Mus musculus: one gene and its partner. The protein of the gene in region 1 interacts with the protein of each later gene in a pairwise test. Links are inferred from orthologs where the notes say so. Each region holds a gene or a part of one and is shown on either strand. Other genes may lie near its edges.

Region 1 (11,847 bases):
AAATACTTTCTGAGTACCACAGAAAGTGAAACAGATGGGTAAAGCATGCGTAAGAATACAAGCCAATAGGTCCACCTGATTTCAGCAGAGCACTTTGTTGATTTTTCCAGAAACCTCGACCTTGAAGATGGTGAGTAGCCAGCCAAAGTACGATCTAATACGGGAGGTAGGCCGAGGTAGTTACGGTGTTGTGTATGAAGCAGTCATCAGAAAGACCTCTGCGAGAGTAGCCGTGAAGAAAATTCGATGCCACGCGCCTGAAAATGTTGAACTAGCTCTTCGAGAGTTCTGGGCACTAAGCAGTATCAAGAGCCAACACCCAAATGTGATTCACTTGGAAGAGTGCATCCTACAGAAGGATGGGATGGTGCAAAAGATGTCCCACGGCTCTAATTCTTCCCTTTATTTACAGGTATGTGTCACTGCATAGGAAATGGACCTAAGAGTGGTCAGCAAGAGAAACCAAAGGGCCAGATGAGCTTTGGCTCCCTAAGAGGCAGGGGTTCTGTGGTTCCCTAGGTGTACGTAACGGTCTGTAGAGGAAGGGGGTGTCTGCCTTAAACTTGTGCTTCGCATACCTCAAAGTAACGCAAGCCACCTGCTATGCCTGGTACTTAACCAGTCTGCATAGCAATAGAACAAGATGAGAACTAGAGGAGGTTTGAGACCAGCATCTAAGGTCAGTTCCTGGAAACCAGTTATTTTGAAAATAAACTCAGAAGACGAGGAAAAAAATAGCACAATCAGTAATAGTCACACCAATGGTAACTGGACTTCCCTAAGTCACAGGTCTAAAAATAATAAGCCTTAGATGAGTGAATTGCTACATGCCGATAGTACTTGGAAGGTGGAGGCAGGGGGCTGGAGAGTTCAAGGCCAGACTCACCTGTATATTGACTTTAGACATTCCTAGGCTGAATCCTGAGCTCCAGGACAGAAGCTGTCCGCTGTCTGCTGTCCTCTGACCTCCACACTTGCACTGTGGCATGCACACATGTAAGCATTCACACACGTACACACACACATATTTGTAAACACATACATAAAGAAAGTAAATATAATTTAACAATTAAAATATAGTAACAAAAAAAAAAAACCCAACAACAACGATGTTTAGATTGGTAAAAGGCTCAGAGGATAAAGGGGTTGTTGCCAGGGCTGATGACCCAAGTTCAGGTCTCAGGTCCCTCATGGTAGAAAGAGGACTTGAACACCTGAGAAGTTGTTCTCATACCTCCATGAGTGTTTCGTAGTTCCCCCTACACACAAAACAAAATAATTTTAGAAATTTAGAAGCTAATTTATAGTATTTACTTTTCTAAAAGTACTTAGGTTGCCATGATAAAAATATTGGAAATATTTCTGTCTTTTTTTCCTTTTTCGCCAGTGCTAGAGATGGAGCCTAGGGTTTGGGGCGTCCTACATAAACTCCATCCCTTCCTTTAAGCTGCAGAGACTAAGATGCACAACCCCTTCAGGTGGAGAAGTAAAGATACAAACACATTTGACACAGTACCAGGTCCACATCTAGGAGCGACATCATAATAATTGGGTTTTCTCTAGTTTACGATATGAAGTACCAGACTAAAGTGATTTTTGTACTCAAGTTGCCTCTTTAGTGAGTCAATTTTACCCTTTAAAGCCTTAGGTACCTGTATTTGATTTATGACACTTTCTGCTGTCAGAATGTCTTGAAATAAATAACCCAACTTTTCTAGTAGCTCTCTGTTCATATGTGGTTCATTTCTGCCTTTTATGACCTCGTACAAGTCAGAGAGGAGGCTGACGCTAGTTTGGCATATAAGAACTCGGAAATAGGTACCTGTGTTGAAACTAAGTGAGCCTGATTTTTCTTTATCTATTCATTTATTTTTGAGACAGAGTGTCACCTTAGACTTGGCTAACCTGTGACTTAGTATGTAGGCTAGACTGGCCTTACACTTACAGAGATCCACCTGCTTCTGCCTCTACTGGGATTAAAACGGTACACTACCATACACCCAGCGAATTGACCATATATTTATCAATAGAATTGTATCAAAACAATACAGTAAAAATCAATAAACAAATCTGTAACATAATCAGAGAGTCCCTACGCATGGCCTTTATTCATAAATTTTCATTTTTTATGTTTTTTTCCTTGTTCTCAGTTGGAATCACTAAACCAGTTCCTAATAGCTAAAAACCCCATCCGAGAGAAAATGTAAAGCAGTTACTAGGGCTTAATTTCGCCCTCTAGTCTGTCTATGTCAGACAAATGACACACATAGATGGCATAGGAACATATCATGGGGAATCTGATACGTCTCAGGGCTGAAGAGCTGTGAGCTGCTGGACATGCTGCACACATAGTGTAATCCTGACACAGAAGACGACAGGAGTCCATGACGTCAGGGCCAGGCTGGGCTACAGACTCTGGGTACAGAGTGAGAGCCTATCTAGGGGCTTGAAAAAGAAGAAGAATCTGACAAGCATTATCTAGATACGTGGGTGAAAACTATATATTTCTCTTCTTGCAAGCTAGTATTGTATACACCACCTTCTAAACCACTGTCTGAGCACTGGTATTTTGCCTTACACAAAGCTATTTATTAAGTTTATATTTTAGGGTAAACACAGAAAAACTAAAGTCAGGAATAGCACACCTGTGTTTCAGACTCTCTGCACTGGCACACCATACAGCAAGGAGGTTCCTGCAGGCCATCACCATTGCTGCCCTCTGCCAGGGGAAGCAGGTGGAGGCTGTTCTTGGCTTTTTCCAGAATAACCACGCAAAGTAGTAATAGTGATTAGTAAATGTAACGACTGTAATGTAAACTTACCAGAATATCCACACGAAGTAGTAATAGTGATTAGTAAGTGTAATGATTGTAACATAAACTTACCAGTTGCTCATTCTTTAACAGCTTCACTCCAGTCTTCCCCTTTTGTTTTTCTTTTTAGACACCACATAAAAATATAATTTAAAAACAATATACCTCTATATTTTAGTATGTTCATGAAGCGATGAGCTAGGTGGTTAGAAAACTCAGCTTTATTGACATATATAGAAAATGTCAGCCAGTTGGGCACTTTCCAAAATACAGCTACAAAGGTGGCATTTTGAAGTACTGAAAAAAGGAAAAAAAAAATTTTTTTTTAAATTTAGGCCCCACTCGCTCCAGTCAGCTCCGCTTGCTCCAGCCCAAAGATTTTTTATTATTATAAATAAGTAAACTGTAGCTGTCTTCAGACACACCAGAAGAGGGCGTCAGATCTTATTATAGATGGTTGTGAGCCACCATGTGGGATTTGAACTCAGGACCTTTGGAAGAGCAGTCAGTGGTCTTAACTGCTGAGCCATCTCTCCAGCCCTGAAAAAAAATTTAATGCATATATAAAAACACAGATGAAATAAAATATTCTTGAGGTTTTCAGTTAAAGCTGGAGATTAGGGCTTGACTGGCAGAGCAGGGCTTCCCAACCCTTCCACTCAGGCCCTCTCACCAGAAAAACATGCACAATCCTGCGTGTGTAAAACATAAATCAAACATGCTGATACTGAATCATAAATAATGTCACTTTAGAGCAATCCTTTGGTATAAATATAGTTTTACCTTTTATTAAAGTAGAAAGCAAACAGTACACTACTGAAGTGAATGTCCCTGTTTATTTCTACATAGAGGTAAATCTTGGACTGACAAGGTGGCACTGTGGGCAGAGGCACTCACATGCAGACCTGACAACCTGCCTTCTATCCTTAGGTCCCATAGAGTGGCAGGAGAGTTATCCTCTGACACAATTAAACTCGTTTTTTAAAAAGAGAATTTGGCTTGAATATTTAGCATCTTTAGCACTTTCCACAGTTGATTTGTAGTTTATAAAAATCAGTGGTGAGAACAGTGCTTCACATAACTATATTAGTACAAAATGGTAGACATATGTTTAAGGCAGAGTCAGAAACTGTTGGAAATTCTGTCCTAACACTTTCCAGTGAGCCTCTTGCCTCTGTTTCTGTAGTGCTGGGATCACAGGTATGTGCCACCACACCTGCCTTCACATAGCAAGTTTTCCTTTTTGTTTTCTTTTTTTTTTTGGTTTTTCACTCTGTAGACCAAGCTGGCTTCAAATTCAGAAATCCGCCTGCCTCTGCCTCCCAAGTTCTGGGATTAAAGGTGTGTGCTACCACTGCCCGGCCAAATAGCAATTTTATTTATTTATTTTTAAATATTTATTTATTATATGTAAGTACACTGTAACTGTCTTCAGACACTCCAGAAGTTGTCATCAGATCCCATTACAGATGGTTGTGAGCCACCATGAGGTTGCTGGGATTTAACTCAGGACCTCTGGAAGAGCAGTCAGTGCTCTTAACCACTGAACCATCTCTCCAGCCCCAAATAGCAATTTTTAACCTCTGTTTTTCTTTCTCTCTCCCTGAGACAATCTCACTATATAACTAAGGCTGGCCTTAAATTTGAGATTGCTTGAGCTAGGTGTAGTGACACACAGACCTGTTATTCCAGCACTGGACATGGAAGCAGGAGGCCAACCATGAACTATTCAATGAGTTTGAGGCCTTTGTGAACTACTTGAGACCCTGTCTCAGAAGAAAAGAAGAAAAAAAAAATGGTACCTAAATTAGGCATTATACCATAACAATCCACTGGTAAATTACTTTGGTTAATTGCTTGCTGATGAATGACAGTAGAAAAATATCAGAAGTCTTTGTTTTCCCCCAATTAAACCATTACGTTGCTATAAGAACAGGCAACTTTGTAAATGTAGTAAATATACAGTTTGGTTTTGAGTTCATTTTTGGTAGCTAAACATTCACTAAACTTTTCACTATTGCCAATTTTTTGTGACCTCTACATTCAGTTTAAGAAACCTTTGCCTGAAAAAACAAACAAACAAAAAAAAAGAAGGCCAGGCGGTGGTGGCGCACGCCTTTGATCCCAGCACTAAGGAGGCAGAGGCAGGCAGATCTCTGAGTTCGAGGCCAGCCTGGTCTATAAAGTGAGTTCCAGGACAGCCAGGGCTACACAGAGAAACCCTGTCTCGGGGGGAAAAAAAAAGAAACTTTGCCTGGCAGCAAGCTGCAGATTGACCTAACGTTTTCCTTCTTTCTTTTTAGTATATTTTTAAAAGATTTATAGCTAGTGGTGGTGGTGCAAGTCTTAAATCCCTGCTCTTGGGAGTCAGAGGAAGGAGGATCTCTGTGTTCAAGCCAACCTGGTCTACAGAGCAAGTTCCAGGACAGCCGGGGCTATCCCTGTCTAAATCCCCGTCTCAAAAAATAAAACAAAAACATGAACAAATAAAAAAGACTTACTAATTTTTAATTATGTTGGGGGAGGGGGTATGTGTCAGTGCAGGTGCCTTTAGAAGCCAGGAAACTGGGGCGATAGTGCAGGCAGTTGTGAGCCACCACCATGCTTATTGAGGACCTGAGCTGCAGTCCTCTGTGAGAGCAGTAAATTCAGAACTGCTGGGCTGTATCTCCATCCCTTTCAACCTCTGTGCATCTTAAACTACTACTCTTCTCCCCATCCTTCACAGCTTGTAGAGACTTCATTAAAAGGAGAAATTGCCTTTGATCCCAGAAGCGCCTATTATTTGTGGTTTGTGATGGATTTTTGTGACGGAGGAGATATGAATGAGTACCTGTTGTCCAGGAAACCCAATCGAAAGACTAACACCAGCTTCATGCTTCAGCTCAGCAGTGCTCTGGCCTTCTTGCACAAAAACCAGATAATCCACCGAGACCTGAAGCCTGATAACATCCTCATTTCCCAGAGCAGGATGGACACCAGTGACTTGGAACCCACACTCAAAGTGGCTGATTTCGGCCTAAGTAAAGTTTGCTCAGCATCTGGGCAGAACCCAGAAGAACCTGTCAGTGTAAACAAGTGTTTCCTTTCCACGGCATGCGGGACGGACTTCTACATGGCTCCCGAAGTGTGGGAAGGACACTACACCGCCAAAGCTGACATTTTTGCTCTGGGAATTATCATCTGGGCAATGCTGGAGAGGATCACCTTCATAGACACGGAGACAAAGAAGGAGCTCTTGGGGAGTTACGTAAAGCAGGGGACTGAAATTGTGCCTGTTGGGGAGGCACTTCTGGAAAACCCCAAAATGGAACTTCTCATCCCTGTGAAGAAAAAGTCTATGAATGGGCGAATGAAACAACTGATAAAGGAAATGCTGGCCGCAAACCCTCAGGATCGCCCTGATGCTTTTGAACTAGAACTCAGATTAGTCCAAATTGCATTTAAAGACAGCAGCTGGGAGACGTGACCTACTGCTTGCAAGCATCTTAGACGGTGCTGCTTCAGAGTCGATGGAAATACATCACATGGCCGAAAAGAAGACGGAAGTTAGATTCCACTTTCTAAGGGTTTAGGTTTTATTGTGGGGTAGTTTTATTTTCTCTCTCATTTTTCTTAATCCATGCAGGCCATTTTATTGTATGTTTTGAATGTGTATTACCAATGTGGCTGTAAAAAAATTTTATTTAATGATCATTGGTAAAAGGTTGGCAGAAAAAAATTCTCTTAGGAGCCAAGCAGAGAAGAAAGTCCCATTTTCTAGAAATATCTTTAAGTATTTTAGACATTCCTTGTCAGTATTAGGCATTTCCATGGAAGAAGAGGTTTGCGTGCTGGTAATGCAACCTTCGAAGCTTTGTAAAGGAAACATATATGTATATATTTATGTATATGTCAGTATGTGAATGTGTGCATTTTGCATTCCACATGAAGAAAATGCCACGTCTGTTTAAATTATTTGATACAGGTTTGGGTTTTTGAGATTTGCTGATGAAATTGGTGATAAAAACCACACAAACCATCCCTCATCTTCGTCCCTACTCCTTCTGCTACTGGAAACATACTAAGGGTATTTTTGTTGTTGTTTTTGTTGTTTTCCCAGTATACATCTCTTTTTTAAAGGCATCATTTTGGAGGGTCAGAATGGCTGATGAACGATAACTGAAGCTAAGCAGGTGTAAGCCGCAGGGTGCGTTAGAGCTCTGCAGGGCCTGTAGCTCTTCCAAGTTGAATCAGTCATGGAGTCTCACGGCTCGTGCCTACCTTCAGGTGGCTGAGCATTTGTTTGAGTAATTAAACCACTGCACTGGGCCATGCGGGCACTTGAGCATCTGCTGTAACCCGAGGACGTGTTCTTCTGTTCTGAAAACATTGCGTTACACAACTGTAATACTTGATTATTAATTTTGAGTTTTAAGACTTTTTCTAAATCTCAGCATAAAGTCGAAGAAACCAAATGAGCTCACCCTGGAGTTGCTGGCCCTGGTGTGGCTTCCTGTTGGATCACTGGAGTCTCTGTCACTTTGACAGTGATGCTGTTTTCTCTTGTCTTGTGATGCAGTAATGGGACTGGTAATCACTGTCACAAATACTGGTCGCTCTCTTCCAAAGTGAGAGACGATGCAAATGGATAAAATTCTATGCCCTCAACTGCTTTTCAAGTAGAAAAGTTGTCGTTTTCATATGGTCACCTGGCATCTGTCAGAAAGCAAGAGACTCAACTCCTGAAGGGAAAGTCTAACTGCATGGTTGCCTCCAGATTGTTCTTGCTAATCCAGGAACATTAAGGAAAGGATTCTTTCTTAAACCAGAACACCAGTCTTTAGGATGAATTAGAAGCTACCATTATATCCAGGTGAGGCTTTATAAGGCACTAGCTGCCCACCTCCGGTGCTGGGGTAGAACCTTGGGCCTTAGGTGTGAGGGAAGTAGCCTACCACTAACCCCACGGGGATCTTTTTAAGCGTTAAGATGCAAAAGGCAATAGACTATCAGGATATTGCCGTTATCAGCAACTCTCCTTGTCCCCTCAGTGCTTGAACCGCCATACCGTCACATTAGGTCTGGCTGTGGTTCAGTGAAGAGCGCTTGCCTGGCATGTACAAGGCTCTGGATTCAATCCCTGCCATCACAAAATCAACAGATCCATTAGTGTGTTCAGAAGGTGATAAAAGATAAACCTCACAAAAAAAATGAAATATGTAAAACGCCTAGACTGAATTAATCTGGAAGTGTAAAAACGTGAACCGAAAGGCTTTAGTTAACAAAAAAAATCTTATCAAATGAAAAAGTCACATACACATAATATCACTTGCAGACTTAGCTAAAAGAATTCTTTCAGAAATAAGAGGTAGAAATGTCCTGGATCTTCATGGTAATTGACCCTGTGGGTCACCAAGTTGACACAGATCTGACCCGTGGATTGAGTTACAAGAAATTAGAAAAAGTCTCATTATAATGGATTACCATTGACTTGGCCCTCATCAGATTGATATGTGATGTGTGCCAACAGTTCTTGGCTCTACAAATACCTGTGCACTTGAAGCTGTGGTGTCCTGAGCACATAGCTTTTGATCCTGCCTCCTTGAAAATAATGAGTAATTATCTTTTGTTTTCGTTGGTGCTGGGATCATACCCAGGGCCTTGCTTGTGCTACACAAAGGTGTTAGCACTGAGCTAAATGTCTAGCCCCAGTTATAATTTATTTTGAAAGATTTTTATCTGTGAATTAGAATTCTTTATTATCGGTAAGGGTGTGAGGTGATCAAGAAATTTCTTCCAGAACATTAAGTCCTTGTCTTCTGAAATAGCTTGTGATATCAACAAAAGGACAGGGATTTGTCTTTGTTCGTTCAGTCAGGGGTATTTATTAAGTACCTACTGTGTGCTCAGCACTTAAGTTTAGTTGATACGACAACCATTTAAGATTTGCAGTTGTAGGGGCTGGAGAGAGGATTCTACCATTAAGAGGACTTAATGCTCTTGCACAGAACTGGAACTCAGTTCCCAGCACCCATGTTGAGTGGCTCACAGCCACCTAACTCCAGCTCCCAGGGACCTAATACCCTCTTGCTTCCATGTGCACTTGCGCATGCACACTCATGCACATACACACACACACAATTTAAAGAATAAAGACAAACCATTTTTTAAAAATGGCATTTAGTCATGCACTTTCTTCAGACGCATATAAGACATAAAAGACGAGTGATACTTGGGAATTTTGGATAATTGCTAAAGGAAAAAATGCAATCAAGAAATTGTGCACAGTGCCTTGCCCATAATAGGTACTCAATAAACAGTTATCCCTCATAGTCTGTTGCCATGGTTTCTAGTGTTTTATGAAATTTGTCTTAATTGAAAAAAAAAAAGACCAAATATTTCCACTAAAGCTTATAGGCAGCTGTGTCCAGTCACTGTAGGGTTGTACAGTTAGTTCCTAGGCTATTAATTTGCACCTGTTGTCACTTAGAAACATGGGGTTCTGTAGATTCTTGGTGCTAAGGGATACTTTGTCATTCTGATGAAGTAAGTGTTAAGTGTCAGAAAAATAGCACAGAATAGTTCTTTCTGCAGGTCTGGGTTTTTGTTTTTAATTGTAAAATGTTACCAATCAAACTATTGTAGCAGCTACAAAATAATTCACCAGCATGACAAAATAGTCAAAAAAAAAAAAAAAAAGATGTCATCAGCACATCAGAAAAGAAGGCAACTTTAAAACTTTTCTTTTAAAATTGTCAAATATATTTTATGAAGAATTTATAAAGGGGGAAAGTATTGTAATTTATTGTTCATGAGGTTTTTGGTTTTTTTTTTTTTAATAAAGTGAATTTCAACAAAAAACCTTGAAAGTTCTCTTGCTACTTTGAGTTGTACAGTTCTCTAAGTGATGAGTGTGAAGTGACCTACATCCTGGAAAAGTATTTACACTTGTGGAGTAAAAAATTCTCTCCTAGAAGCGGTTGCCAAGGACCGTGATTGGATTACAAGACTGTATATCATTTCAAGTTCTCCGCAACCGTAATGCTATCTGGCTATTTTTGCTTTTTAAGAGAAGTATGTATTGTTTAAGATTCTTGTTTCGCAGGGCATGGTGGCGCATGCCTTTAATCCCAGCACTTGGGAGGCAGAGGCAGGCGAATTTCTGAGTTCGAGGCCAGCCTGGTCTACGGAGTGAGTTCCAGGACAGCCAGGGCTACACAGAGAAACCCTGTCTCGAAAAAACAAAAAACAAGAAACAAAAAACAAAAACAAAAAGACTCTTGTTTTAAAATAGGTATTTTCTGTGTGTGAATGTCTTACTTACATATGTCTGCCCACTGTGCATGCAGTGCCCAAGGAGGCTGGATAAGGTTTCAGATTCCGCTGCAACTGGAGTTCCATGTGAACCTCCTTGTAGATGCTTCAGAATTGAACCGAAGGTCCTCCAAGAGGTCTTAACCACTGAACCATCTCTCTAACCCACAGATTCTTTTTTCCATTTATCCTATTTCTATTAAATGTACTAAGTGGATGCAATTTCAATTGATAACATGAGGCAATGACTTGTAAAGAAGTAGGGTTTAGCTGAGCATGGTGGCCCATGCCTTTGATTCCAGCACTTGGGAGCCAGGCCAGGCAACTGAGAATTTTGAGCTGACCAGCTCTACATACTGAGTTCTAGGCCAGACATCAAGGAGAAACCTCAGGGGGAAAAATTGCCATTGCCAGCCCAGTTTCTTTTGTAAAATGTATGGTTGCCTCAGCATACAATCTCCTGAGTAGCAGTGGAAAAGCTGAGGGACAGGAAGCAAGCCCCTGGCCTGCCTCCTACAGCAGCTAGAGCCTCTGAAAACAGATTTTGCACCTGATTATCTTTTTTAAAATTCAATTTTAAGCCCGAGGAGAGGCAGGCAGATCTCTGAGTTCAAGGCCAGCCTGGTCTACAGAGTGAGTTCCAGGACAGCCAGGGCTACTCAGAGACTCCTATCTCAGGATAGGAGGAAAATTAGAATTCAATTTCTACTGATAAATTTGCAGCTATCAACACTTTTGCAGTTTACAAAGCACCACCATATGCTGTTCATTCTTTTCATATCTTTTACTGGAAGTAGGAGCTGATTCCTGGTTTAGAACTGAAGGTAGAAACAGCAGGTGATGTCGGTCTCACCCCAGGACCATGACACCACCTAATCTCTGCCTCCAGTTGGCGGTCCTCTCACGGCAAAACTTTATCTTTCCAGCGGAAGGAGCCGGCCTTGTTTTGGCCTTCCTTTAAATTCAAATGTTGCTGTCTTGATCAGCCAATCAGACGATTTCTAAAGTGCTCCGCGAAACGACGGTTTGTGGGTAGAAAGTAACTCCGGTCTGAAAAAGCCTACAGAGGCCACACCTCTAGAAGGTGAAACGCGTTTTTTAAAGGTGGTACTTCCACCTAGGCAAAGAGTTTCCATTGGTTAGAAGTGAATTGCTTGAGAGAGAGAGAGAAAGAGAAAGAAGAAGGAGAGAGAGAGAAAGAAGAACGAGAGAGAGAGAGAAAGGAGAGAGAGAGAGAGAGAAAGAAGAAGAGGAGGGAAGGGAGGGGAGGGGAGGGGAGGGGAGAGGAGGGGAGGGGAGGGGAGGGAGTAGCCCTGGGCTTTGAAATTTTCTTCTCCTGTTCAACCTGGTATTTCAAGCTTAACCTGTTTTGAGCCGAAGTTAAGCAATTTGGTATTACTGAAGCTGTTGTGGTCTAGCACGCGAAAGATCCGGTATGGAAGAGTAACTTTTGCAAATAGCCACCTAAGTAAAATGTGTCCTTCCATAAATGGTCATCCATTCATTTGAGCCTCAGTTCCCATAGCTGCCAAATGAAAACGATAATTACATCTCATTGCATGTCGAGTTCGTCATCTTTGCTCGTGTCTTTGAAGTTTCTAAGAGAGCAGAGTTCTGGTCAGCCAGGGCTGCATAGTGTGACCCTTTCCCATAAAACAAGAACAACGACGTCATCAAAACACACCGCAAGGATTCCCGTGAGAGGAGGAAGGAAAGAATCACTGAGCCCTCTCCAGAT
Region 2 (12,309 bases), about 20 Mb from region 1:
GAGGAGTGGGCTTGGAGAGAGCTGGTCAGGCAGAGCAGAGGACAAGGACTTCCAGGATGTAAGGGAAACCAAACCCTAGAGCAGTTTACTCTCTGGTCTCACCCTTAAGATGTCAAAACAGTGATGTCTGTCTGGTTCATTTTGTGAGTTCTGCGACCAGGGTTACCTGTCCAGGCTGTCCAGCAGGACCAGAGGCTGAGGCCAAAGGTTTCATGTGTATTTGAAGCTAATTATAATATTTATCATCATTATTATTGATGTGTTTATAAAAAGATAAAGACAGAAAGAATATGTCCTATAGGGGTGTGGTGAGGTTTAGAGGAAGGGAATGTCTCAGCGGGCCCATGCTGAGGCATCCCTTCCTCCTGAGGGAGCAGCCACACGATGGTATAGTATAGAATAGAGTTTATTCAAGGTAGACAGGAGTTAAGAGGGTAATTGAGGCAGAGAAAGGCAGAGAGAGGGAGAGAGTAGAGAAGTAGAGGCCAGCCATGGCTATGAGCACTTGGAGAGAGTGGAAAGGGAAGGGAATGGGGAAGGGGAGAGCAAGAGCAAGGAAGAGAAGCAAGAGGGAAGCAAGACTAAGAGAGGGAGGAGGGGACAAGCAGCCCCTATAAAAGTGGGTCAGGCCAGTTAACTGTGGGGAGGAGCATATTGTGGGTGGAGTTTAGACAGAATGCTAACAATTTGTTATTATATTTATTGAGATGGGGAGTAACTCGGGAGTGTCAGTAATTGTCAGAGGATACGTAGCAAGAGTCTCCTCTCTCTTCCCACCATAGAGTTCACACGTGGACTGTGAGGTGCCGGCAGATGGCAGAGCTAGGCCGGTCTAACGCCTCCCTCGGGGTGAAGGGGAACCCGAGCTGAAGGTGGCCTGAGACCCGAGAGCACAGGCCTGCAGCAAGGCAGCCGCCCTTCTCAAACATGGCGGCGACGGGGGTCCCAGGGATGTGCCCTTCCCAAACATGGCGGCCAAAACGGGCGGGCCTCCGCGCGAAGGAGACGTCCCTTTCCCAGCGTGGCGGGAACCTTGCCCAGCTTCCGGCGCTCCGCCCGCGGCTCGCCGTCCGTCGGGGAGGCGCGCGCTGCCCGCTCTGCACGCGGAGAGCACGTGACCTGGAGACGCCGGCCCCTGATTGGTGACGTGGCGATGACATCAGACGCCGCGCGCGCGCTCAGAGCCGCGCGATTGAGACTTGGCGGAGGAGCGTTAGGCCGGGGCGCTCACTCATGAGGAGCAGGAAGGTGAGGGGCCCCCGCAGGCGGGGTGCGCGCCGCCGAGCCGCACTCTCCCAGGGGAGCCGGCGGGGGGCGGGCGCCTCGAGCCCCGCCCCTGGGAGGGGAACCCGCACTCCAGGCACCTCCACCCGCCCCAGGCGCGGGGCTCCAGGCTCGCTCCCCGGGGTGAGGGCCACCGGGACCCGAGCTTTGCCCTCGGCCGTGCGGGCTACTGCCCGGGCTTCCTGGCCTCTCGCACTGCCCACAGATGGGCGTGCTGCAGCCGAGCGAGCTCAGCCAAGCCCCTGTGTCGTGTGTAACCTGGGCTGAGGGCGGGCAGTGGGACGGGAGCTAGGGTGACTGGGACCTAAACCCCGGCTGCAAAGGGTCTCTGGCCGAACGAGCATGGCAGGGACAGTGAGTCCCTTAGCCTGAAGTGTGTCTGCCCTGCACCGCTAGCCAAAGTCCAGGCTGACGTCCCTGCCTCTTGCGTTGCGCAGACGTTTGTGTGTAGCGAGGCTGACAATAACTGTTCCCCGTGTCAGTGGTCATGGTTGCTGCCCCTCCCTTGCATAAGGAGACTTTATTAAGGTTTAATAGTTCCCCGCTGTGTTTTTTACTTCTTTGCGCGCCTCGGTTCCAGTGAGACACAGAAGGGTCTAACTCTTGTGAGGTTCTCTCCCACTTTCCGTTAGCTGTCTGTTGACAGTGCAGCCTTGCAATCCTTACTTTACCCTTTGCAGCCACTTCCTCAGGCCAGCAAGGGCCCCTCGGACCCTCCCCCTTTGTTTGTTCCTGCCTGTTGCTAGCACGTGCCTCTTTTGCCTGTTCAGAGAAGTATGTTTAAGATAATTTTATGTTAGGGACTTTCCTTGGGGGTCGAGGGTGCCCTTTGTACCTGGATTACTGATTGGGTCCTTAGCTTCAGCTAGAACTCCCGGTGGTTCTAAAGCAACACCCCCTCCCCCCTCCACACACACACCCATTTGCATCTGGAAATTCCTTTATTCTCACCTTCATCTTAGAGGACAGGTTTTCTGGGTATGGATTTTCTTAGCTGGCATTTTGTTTCGTGCAGGTAGTGATCTCACCGTGGTTCACATACTGTTTCTGCAGAATAAGCAGTTGTTTTTTACTGGTACCTCCAGGATGAGAACTGCCCCGGGAGGTGGCCTGGCCATGTGTTTATTATCCTCTCCCTCCTGTGTCACAAACTTCCCAGTCACAGGTTATTGTTTTCAACGAACAGGAGGCTTTCAACCATTCTGTCTTCAAATACTTTTTTCTGCTTTTTCTACTTTCTGGTTGTCCCTTACATGTATGTGTGCTGGTGTGTGAGTTAAGGCCAGCCTAGGCTACCTAGGAAGTTCTAGGTCAGCTGGGGCAATAAGATATGTGACACAGTTGTGTGTGATGGCAACAGGCTGTGACCCCAGCACTCGGGAGGCTAAGACAGATGTATTTTATATTCAAGACCTAGCAGAGTAACTTAATGAAATTGACAAAAAAGAAAAAGACAGGCAGGCAGGCAGAGGTGGGGCTGGGAGTGCATGAAACTCCCGAGCAGAGCAGCGTAAGCCAGGTGTGAAGCTCACATTTGTAATCCCAGCACTTGGGAAACACGGGCAGTTTCAGGAGGGCAAGGTTCTCATTAGCTTCACAGCAAGATAAGAGGCCAGCCTGGGACACATAAGACCCCATACTAAAAATAAAACGTAAATAAAGGTGGGCGAGGCCCTTAGCACAGCAGTAGAGTCTGCCTAGCACATAGTAGGTTATCCCAGAACAGCAACAACATCATCATCATGTAAGACCTGGGACTAGGGTAGGGTAGAGATATGAGTGCAGGAGCTGGTGTTTGTGTTTGTGTTACTATTGTCATGGGCTTTGACACCAGATAATTTGAGAGCCGTCAGGCAGTGGTGGCACATGCCTTTAATCCCAGCACTTGGGAGGCGGAGACAGGAAGATTTCTGAATTTGAGGCCAGCCTGGTCTACAGAGTGAGTGCCAGGGCTATACAGAGAAACCCTGTCCCAAAAAACCAAAACAAAACAGAGTTTGAGAGCCTTCCAAGAAAGAATGTGTACCCTTATTTGGAACACATTGGTATGAGTTTGTGTGTCCACTCAGTTCTGCTGGGTCTTGGAAACATACGTACCACAGCACACATGGAGGTCAGAGGACAGCTTACAGTTCTTTCCTTGCACTGTTTGGGTCCTAGCAGCTGAGCACACCCTTTCAGTCCTTGTGACCAGCTCCCTTTTCCACTGAGTCGTCTGATGCTCAACCCTGTGCCTAAGTGGACAGTTGGGTCAAACCAGCTTGGGGCATAGCCGTCTTTGCTTGTAGGTGAAGGACCATGGGTAGCTCAGGCACCAAGTGGAGGACCCACAACAGCTCTGGGCTGGCATTCCGCCATAAGCATGCTCTCTGAGCTTTACTCTTGTCTAGCTTACAGGTGGAGTGCGGTCCTCAGCACGCCTTCGGGCCCGGAGTTACTCTTCAGCCAGCTTGGCCTCTGCCAGGGACGTTACCAGCTCCACATCTGCTAAAACAACATGTCTGGTGAGCCTCATTACCAAGAACACCAAGGCTAAAGTTGTCACTCTAAGATGTGTTGTATGAAATAGAAGCTGCTGCTATGTATAGCTTGGGAGACGTTCCAGAGGCTGTGGCAGTGCTGTCACTGTTGTCACAGAGGCGTGTGCTTTGCCATACAGCTGATCTTCTGACCTTTGTGCACCATACGTGTGTGTGTGTGTAAGTGTGCTAGTGACCCAGGCACTAAGGCACGGCTTTGCCCAGCTGTGTGAGTCTTTTACCCGCTTCACTCCTGAAGCAGAGGGAATAGTCAGGCACAAGGCACGGACTCATGGTCTGCTGCACGTCCCACTGCAGCTGCCTAGTCGGGGAACCTCATCCCTATGTTGGTGCTTATGAGTTTGGCGGCAGGCACCTTCATGCTCTAAGCTTTCTTGCTTGTTCCTATGATGATTTTAAAGTAAGCAACCATGCACTTTAGGAAAGCAAGGCCTGGGAAAGCAGCTTGCTGGAGCGGTGCTCTGGAGTCCTCCTTGGCCTCTGATCTGCTCTGCCCCTTAGCAGCAGAACAGACTGGGACCAGTGGCTTAGGCACGGGTGTCTCTGGCGGAGGAATGGGAGCCTCTGGGACTGTGAGCCCTGTGCCTCTGCTAATGGGTCTGATTTTCTCTTACATTTTTCTTTCTTGGCAGGCTTCCTCATCACACAAAGCTACGGACAGACGAACTTCCAAAAAGTTCAAGTATGACAAAGGTCACCTTGTGAAGGCAGAATTACAAAAACTTGACCCTAAGAGTGACATTTCTTCTTTGCCAAAAGTGGCCCCCGTGGCTCCTTGTGAAAATAAGTTTGCGGAGGACAGTGCTGAGGCTGCTGTCTCTGTACCAGAGAGCAGAGAGCCGCCTCAGGGCTGCTCCACGCCTGCGAGTGAGGAACCCTCAGTAAAGGCTGAGAATGGCCTGTCCACAGAACCCAGCAGTGCCGCTGCAGCCCAGGAGCCCGATGACAGCTCTGCCGGACAGGCAGAGCCTGTGCCCAGGACAGAGGAGGTGCGGGCATCCGTGCTTCAGATGGACAGCAGCATCTTTCTAGATGATGACAGCAACCAGCCCATGCCTGTGAGTCGCTTCTTCGGGAATGTCGAGCTTATGCAGGTGAGTGTTGCCTCCTCCTGCCTCTCCTGCAGTGCCTGGGCACCAGACTGCAGCTCCCTGCTCCCACTCTATTGTGTACCCATGGTACACGAAACCAAGGTGAACATAATTGATCATGTTAATGCAAGGGGAAAAAATGAACTATGGTGTGTAACCCACATACACACATACACACACACACAGGCTCACAAGCTGGGAAGCAGCTCAGATGGAAAGGCTGAGAAGGTAGCGTCCCTGGCTTCAGCCCCCCCTCTGTGTCTTGGACCTCACACAAGGTTAGGAATTCAGATCTATGATTTCATGAACATGTGACCATGTCTGTTGTCATCTCTTGTTTGGAGTATAGCATCTTTCTTACCAAGGGACCTGTGCCTAGACAGATTTCCTGGGTCTGTAACAGGCCTGCTTTGCAGAGCCGGAGCGGACTGGCCAAGTATGAATGTGGATGCCCTGGCAATCTCACTTAAGACTGAAGTCATGCTTTCTTCCCCTCTAAGGATCTGCCACCAGCCTCTTCATCTTATCCTTCCATGAGCAGAAGAGAATTCAGAAAAATGCACTTCAGAGCCAAAGATGACGAGGATGACGCTGAGGGGTAGAGCTGCGGGCGCCTTGCAGCCGGTGTCAAGATTCTGTATGGCATCTTTCAGAGAACACGCTCTGAGAACAAGGTGGACATCAGTGTCACTGGCTGGCACAGACGCCCAGGCGCACCATGCTGGCACAGGGGGCTGGGCAGTGGAAAACAAGGAAAACTCCTGAGAGCTTTGGCTGTGGTAACAGGCTTACTTTCCATGCCAGACTGATCACCGGGGATGAATTCTGCTGGAAGGACTCCTGTTTCTGAGTGGCGCTAACCATTTGACCTGGTAGTTTTTGCAAAGTATATATGAGAAAGAAATAAAATATATTTTGAAAATACTTTTAAAGAAATACTGTGTTCACAAAAGTGTCATTTCAAATATTTGTGAATCAAGGGAGGAAGTGAACTGTGTCCTGGGCTAGGAGCACTCTTGAGGCCCATTAGCAAGCAGGAAAGGCAAGGCCCTTGGTACAGGGCTTGACTGGAGTTGGGGTGACAGCCCCTCCACTGGGATAGAGGCTACCCACAAGGGTACTGGGAATTGAACTTGGCTCCTAAGCAAGAGCAACAAGTGGTCCAAGCCTATGAGGAGTTTACAGTTCTGCTCCTGTTCAGACAGGCCTGCCCACCCCACCCCCATCAGATCGCACACCCACACATGGGCGCGCGCACACACACACACACACACACACACACAGTCACCTCAGCTTCCACTGAGATCCTTTCTCATTAGGATCTTCACCTGCTCAGGTCACCTGTGACCTATTGGCTGATGAACCACTATTTAAAGCTGTTGCTTGCAGTCATTGTTCAATAGCCGTGGGCAGCACTGCATGGCCTTAGATGCCAGCCCCTGGGAAAGAGACAGCTGTGTGGTTGCCATAGGACTTGAAGGTCAGCACACCCTTGATCCCGGTATACCTACCAAGGAGACAGATGTGCCGTGGCCACCTTGCTTCCTTCCTGGGGTACGCATTTCCTTGCTTACAGCCCACTCTGCTGATGGGCACAGTGTGGGAAGATGCCTGCAGCAGGCCTCAGCAGTAGCACTGTTGCCATCTTAACTGGTCTTATGATGTGAATGCAGTCAGCTCCGTTTCAGCAGTTGCCCACCCAAGGAAGCTACCAGAACCCTTTGAGGATTTGGGAGGGTCTGTTGAGATGGAGGCAGTCACAGACCCGAGTCCCTGGCCTGTCATGAAGGGAGAGTTACAAGTACACAGGCATCCTCTGAAAGTCCAGACGGTGGTGGGTAGATGTGGGATCGGGCCCAAAGGATACTGGGAGAGGTTCCAGTGTGTGCTTACAGTCCACAGCAGCAAACAACACAAGAACAGAAAAAAACCAAAGCAAGTCCACCAAGCTGGCTTAGCATGTCAGGGCGCTTGCTGCCAAGCTTGATACAAGTTCAACGCCTAGACCCCACATGGTAGAAAGAATCGCCCTCCACAGGTTGTCCCCGTGCCTCTGCAGTTGAGCACCTGCAGGTGGGTCCAGTCGTGGGCACCTGTGAGACAAGCACCAAGATGCAGAGAGCCGTGAACATAGCAGGCCACCAACAGACAGTAGCGGATGGGGGAGGTGGGAGTGGGGGCCTCAGCGCAGGGTCCAGAGGAAACAAGTCTGGTTTCCAGGTTCCCCAGACAATGGGAGACAGCCCAGTCAGGCCCTGGATAGTTTTGAAGGTCAGTCACCTGGTACCTTGCTGAAGACCTGTTGTTCCCACTCCAGTCTTCCCAAAGATCAAATGGGCCCAGGCCTGGGGCAGACAGAGTTCCCCATGGCACAGGGGACAAGCTCTTGAGAGCCTCCTGGGAACAGTTCCTTCTCTGGACTCAGCTTAAGCCAGAAGCATTCCTAGATGCCTTTGGTGGCCCTGCCTCGCTCAGGAATGAAAGCCCACTCCTCATCCCAAGTAGCTGGCAGCAGCTCACAGCACTCTGGCTTCTAAACCTTTTGCTCGCTGCCCTTCAGCTTGTGCAGTTGATACCTGCTATGCTCTCATGAGTCCCAGGCTTTTCTGCCATCTCTCACTGTGTGACAAAGTCATGGGGCAGACAGCTCATCTGAGTCACTACATATGTTTTGGTTCACTTTTTCTGGGGCTCACTGCCTACATTATCCTGGGAGTCAGGAGGGGTTTGGATGACAGCTCCTATCTGCGATACTTCTCATCAGCAACCAGTTGAGGGCCCAGAAGCAGGAAAACATGTCCCACCTAGGACAACCTTCTGCCTTTCACTCAAGGCTCATTTTTCATTCCAGCTGCAATGAGTGTTCTGCATCCCACTGGAGAGACAGAACCTCCGGTCAAAAGGGGTGCAGAGCACACCAGCACACCGGCAGGGGCATGGCTGACAGAGGCCACAAATGGCAAACCTGAGGTTGAAGAGAAGGCTCAGCTTCTACTTGCTGCTCCACAGAGGACCCAGACTGGGTTCCAACTCCAACATAATGGCTCACAGCCCCCTGCAGTTCTAGTTCCAAGGTACCCGATCGTACCGACCTGGCACCTGCATTCACGAGGTGCACTAGCATACACTCAGACACACACACACGCACACACAGACACACACATCAAACTTCAGAAAGCCCAGTCCTGGCAACAATTCTGTAGGGGGCAGTGATTGTGCACGTCCTGGGGTGTTTGAGAAGGACAGAAAAGCAGAATAAGACACATTGTGAACAGTGTGCATCCATGACTAAGACAAGCAGCTGGGTCCTCAGAGAGCCCCACCTGGCTGGCTGCCTCGGGCACTGCCCTGCCACCTCTGTGAAGATGAACTCACCTAGATAAATGTTCAATTTCTGCCTGCCAGTATCTCACCCTTAGCCCCATCTTCCTCAATATGTTCAAAAAATTTTGACATGTCTATTTTAGAAACACTTTATTGTTTTTCTGATTACATGGCAAATATAAAAATCCAAACATTACAAAATATATAAAATGCCCATTTCAAAAATAAACTCAGGTTGGGCGTGGTGGCACACACCTTTAATCCCAGCACTCGGGAGGCAGAGGTTGGCTGGTCTATATAGTGAACTCCAGTCCAGCCAGAGCTACATAGTGAGACCCGGTCTCAGAGAAAAAGCAGAATGAAGTATTATAAAATACATGATGTAGGAGATTGTACTTGGTGATCAATCTCAGCCCTGCTGAATCCCCCAGGGTTACAGAGTGTCATTTCCTCAGACCATGCACAAGCTGACACACATTTACAAAACCAAATGCCAGGTGTGGTGGTGCACACCTGTGGTCCCAGCTCTAGGGATGAGGCAGGAAGATCATGAGTTCAAGGTCATTCCCTGCACAGATAAAGCCATCTATGCCTTTAACAGTTCCCTATTTCTCCACATGAAAGTTTAAACCTGCTCCAATCGTGCGTACATACATATATCAGTGTTGAGTCATGAAATTCATGACAGCCATTATTTAACCCATTAAAAACATCAGTTTCACATGGCTCAAAATAATGCCACAGTTGGCTGTTCACACCAGGAGACATCTGGATGGCTTCCCACCTTCTGCCATTTTAAACAATGCAGCAGAGGATGTCCTGCATGTTCGTTATAAAATGCAAACATTTATCCCAGAAGCACCGTTTCTTTCAGAGGCGTATAGTCAGAGCTGCCATTTGCAGTAGAAATAGAAGCCATAAAAGCTCAGCACAAACTAGCACCCCACACACATCACAGTGGCCAAGTTCAGCCCTGGGGCGGTGAGCGTGAAGACCCTGCCACAGGAACACGATGAGCACCGGCACTGACCGTCCTCTGCACACTGGGCTGTGTCACTAGCGCTTCCGAGCAGGGCGCTTCTTCCGAGCAGGCTGCTTCCTCCTGGATCCTGTCTGAGGCCGATAGATCCTACTGCGGTCGCACTCCAGCTTGTGTGTGGTCTTCTTGTGGCAGGCGATGTGCACCAGCTTCAGGTTCTCGGCAGTGAAGAGCAGGCTGTAGAAGTACTCCCAGTTCACCTCCCTCCCATCCTGGATGGCTTCAGCCAGCGTGGGTACCACGGTGCGCTTCTTCTCTATTCTACCAAGTCAGGGGGAGACAACCATTCTACTGTGAGTGCCACACACTACGGGCTGCTGTGCACGCTCCCGTGAGCCACAGACACTCGCTGTCTGTGGATGCAGTGTCTACCACGGCAGGCAACCTCCTGCAGTCCCGACTGTTCTTTTGTTTTTTTGGTTTTTTTTTTTGTTTTTGTCAATATGACAAGCTAGGGTCATCTAGGAAGAGGGCACCTCAACTGAGAAAATGACAGGACTTAGGGATGAGTCACCAGAGGAGTCCAGCACCGTGTTCCGTGGGCTGCTGACACTGGCCCATCCCTGACATGGGCCATGGGTGGCCACGGTGTACAGACTCCAGCGCAAGCAATGCTGCTTGTCTTACTTTGCAAACCTGAGTAGTGGGCGCAGCTTACCATACTGAAAGGAGTGTGGGGAAAGCTGAGAGGGGTCCCTCGCATGCCATTCAACGGAGCCAAGCCTCATGTGTGAGCGAGCACTTGTCAGTCCCTGCTGACTCCTGCTTGTTCCTGTACCCATGTCACACAGCTGCCCATAGACCCCAGGCCTGTGTCTCCCACAGGCACATGAGCCAAGTAGGTATGGCCAATGTGACAGAAGTGGCAAGCAAAGACAATGTCATGTTGCTTCAGAGCCACTGAAACTGGGGCAATCCACAGGTGGGACAATGCTGAGAAAAGAGCCCTGGAAGAGAGGGGTGACAGATCCACTCTGTGCCCCAGAGACACTGACAGCCAGAAGAGAAGACTGGTCACGAGAGAGAACTTCAGGTCCAAACACAGTCGCAAGAACAGATGAGTGGAGGGCAAACCACCTCCCCCGTGTTTAACTCCATGTTTAACAGCTCTGGATTTTTCTGCTTGCTATGACCTCACTTCACCTTAGCTGTCTCTCAAAGGACCCATCTCCAGATACGGTCTCACTAGGTGACAGTTACAATGTGTGTGGGGGGTGGGAGGAACCACAATTGAATCCACAGCAGGAAGTTACCCCAAAACAGCAGCACTGAGCCAGAGTGTGCAAGCAGAGCCAGCATAAAGACAGTGGGTGGCAAGAAGGTCCCAGAATGCCCACGGGAATCCAGGACACTGCAGAGGAGAATCAGAACTCTCCAGCATGGAAGACAAGCCACGGCAGAGCCAAAAGGAAAGGTTTGTCTGTACTGTACACTGCTCTCAGTTAAGGGACTCAAGCCAATCTCCACCAGAGGCAGAATGCTGACTGACAGCAGGTCCACAGCAGATGCCAGGAAACAGTGATGAGTCTCCCTCACGGAGTGCACAGGACACCTAGATGCCAGTGACACCACACTCAGTGTGAGACAGCCCCTCTCCAGTACTCAGGGTAGAAGTGGCAAGAGAGAGTTCACCCTCAGGCCCTCCTTACCGAAGCGCTAGGACCAATCATTAGCAACTCAGAGCAGACCAGGGAGAGGCAGGAGGCAGTGAGCAGAGGAGTGGGAGATGTAAGTAGGTACTGACCATGATGATATGACCACCGTGTAAGCTCAAGGTCAGGTGGGACAATGCTGAGAAAAGAGCCCTGGAAGAGAGGGGTGACAGGCGGGCTCAGGACATACAGTGAGACCAGGCACACAGGAGGTACAGCAAATGGCTAATGAGATTAATTCAAACCCACTTATTCACGCAATGAAATACTGAATAGATGCTAAACAGCCACTATGTGTAGACAACTGGAACAAGGGACCAGAGTAGGAGAGTCTCAGTTAGACAAGACAAAAGGTGGTGTGCTGTTGCTACTAATGTGCTAACAAGAGACGCCTGCTGTGAAGGTAACAAAAACCTAGCCCAGGGAAGGTGAGACAGAAAGCAGGGTGGACATGCAGAGTCCCAGCCTCTTACAGGTACCAGAGCCCAGAAAGGATGAGCAGAGCAGCATAAAATGACAGACAGACAGACAGGCCAAAGACACACCAGAAAAGGCAGCCACCTTAATCTCAAAATAGCAACCTCAGAACAGCTGGACAACATGTTGCCTTGAGCAGACGTGAAAACACAAGAGGCAAATCTAGGAAACAGAGAGAAAGCCCAAAGGAGCAGAAACTAGAAGTGAAAATAAAAGCAGACAACCCCTGCAGCTAAGCGCAGGGCAGGGCAGAGGCAGCTGCAGACAACAGGGGCAAGCAGATGCCCCTGCATCTGCAGGAGGAATTGCAGGATCTGTGCACACTGGGGCCTGGCCTTCTAGGGCTTACCACAGCCACCCCATCTGGTTATGATACAAGATATCAAAAATGTGCCAAAAATACAGCAACAACATCTGTCACACAGACAGTCAGGAGGGAACTAGTGCCCAGGACAAAAGTAAAGAACAGAGAAAGCAAGCAGCCTGAGAGCTGTGCTGGGGAGAGAGAGCTGTGCTGGGGAGAGAGAGCTGTGCTGGGGAGAGAGAGCTGTGCTGGGGAGAGAGAGCTGTGCTGGGGAGAGAGAGCTGTGCTGGGGAGAGAGAGCTGTGCTGGGGAGAGAGAGCTGTGCTGGGGAGAGAGAGCTGTGCTGGGGAGAATGAGCTGTGCTGGTGGAGAGCTACAGAGGCCTGGGCCTCCCCAGGACCAGGAATCAAACAAAAGCAGCCAAGTGGGTACCTACCTCAGGCAGGAGAATACAGAGGCACAGTGACACCAAGTGGTGGTGAGGACAGGAAGGGACTTACAGTGTACTGAACACCCAGAAAAGGCTGGAAGTACTCCGAGGGGGACCACGGACATTAACTCCCCCCAAAGAGACTGGAGGTCAGAGCCAGGGATGTCT

Evidence for each region.
Region 2: the proteins of Pdik1l (region 1) and A430005L14Rik interact in binary tests that used the Homo sapiens proteins (3 or more experiments, as listed by UniProt). The two-hybrid records come from large-scale screens. The link is inferred for Mus musculus from reciprocal best matches to the Homo sapiens genes PDIK1L and C1orf174.

Annotation. Positions count from the first base shown.
Region 1 is NC_000070.6:134,272,811-134,284,657, reverse strand, and holds the end of Pdik1l (serine/threonine-protein kinase PDIK1L), read left to right. Parts: intron 1-110; 5' UTR 111-127; coding exon 128-412; intron 413-5,541; coding exon 5,542-6,282; 3' UTR 6,283-9,656; downstream 9,657-11,847.
Region 2 is NC_000070.6:153,956,075-153,968,383, forward strand, and holds A430005L14Rik (UPF0688 protein C1orf174 homolog), read left to right. Parts: upstream 1-1,162; 5' UTR 1,163-1,233; coding exon 1,234-1,248; intron 1,249-3,674; coding exon 3,675-3,788; intron 3,789-4,456; coding exon 4,457-4,918; intron 4,919-5,415; coding exon 5,416-5,517; 3' UTR 5,518-5,851; downstream 5,852-12,309. Other genes in the region: Dffb (DNA fragmentation factor subunit beta), read right to left, coding at 9,296-9,539.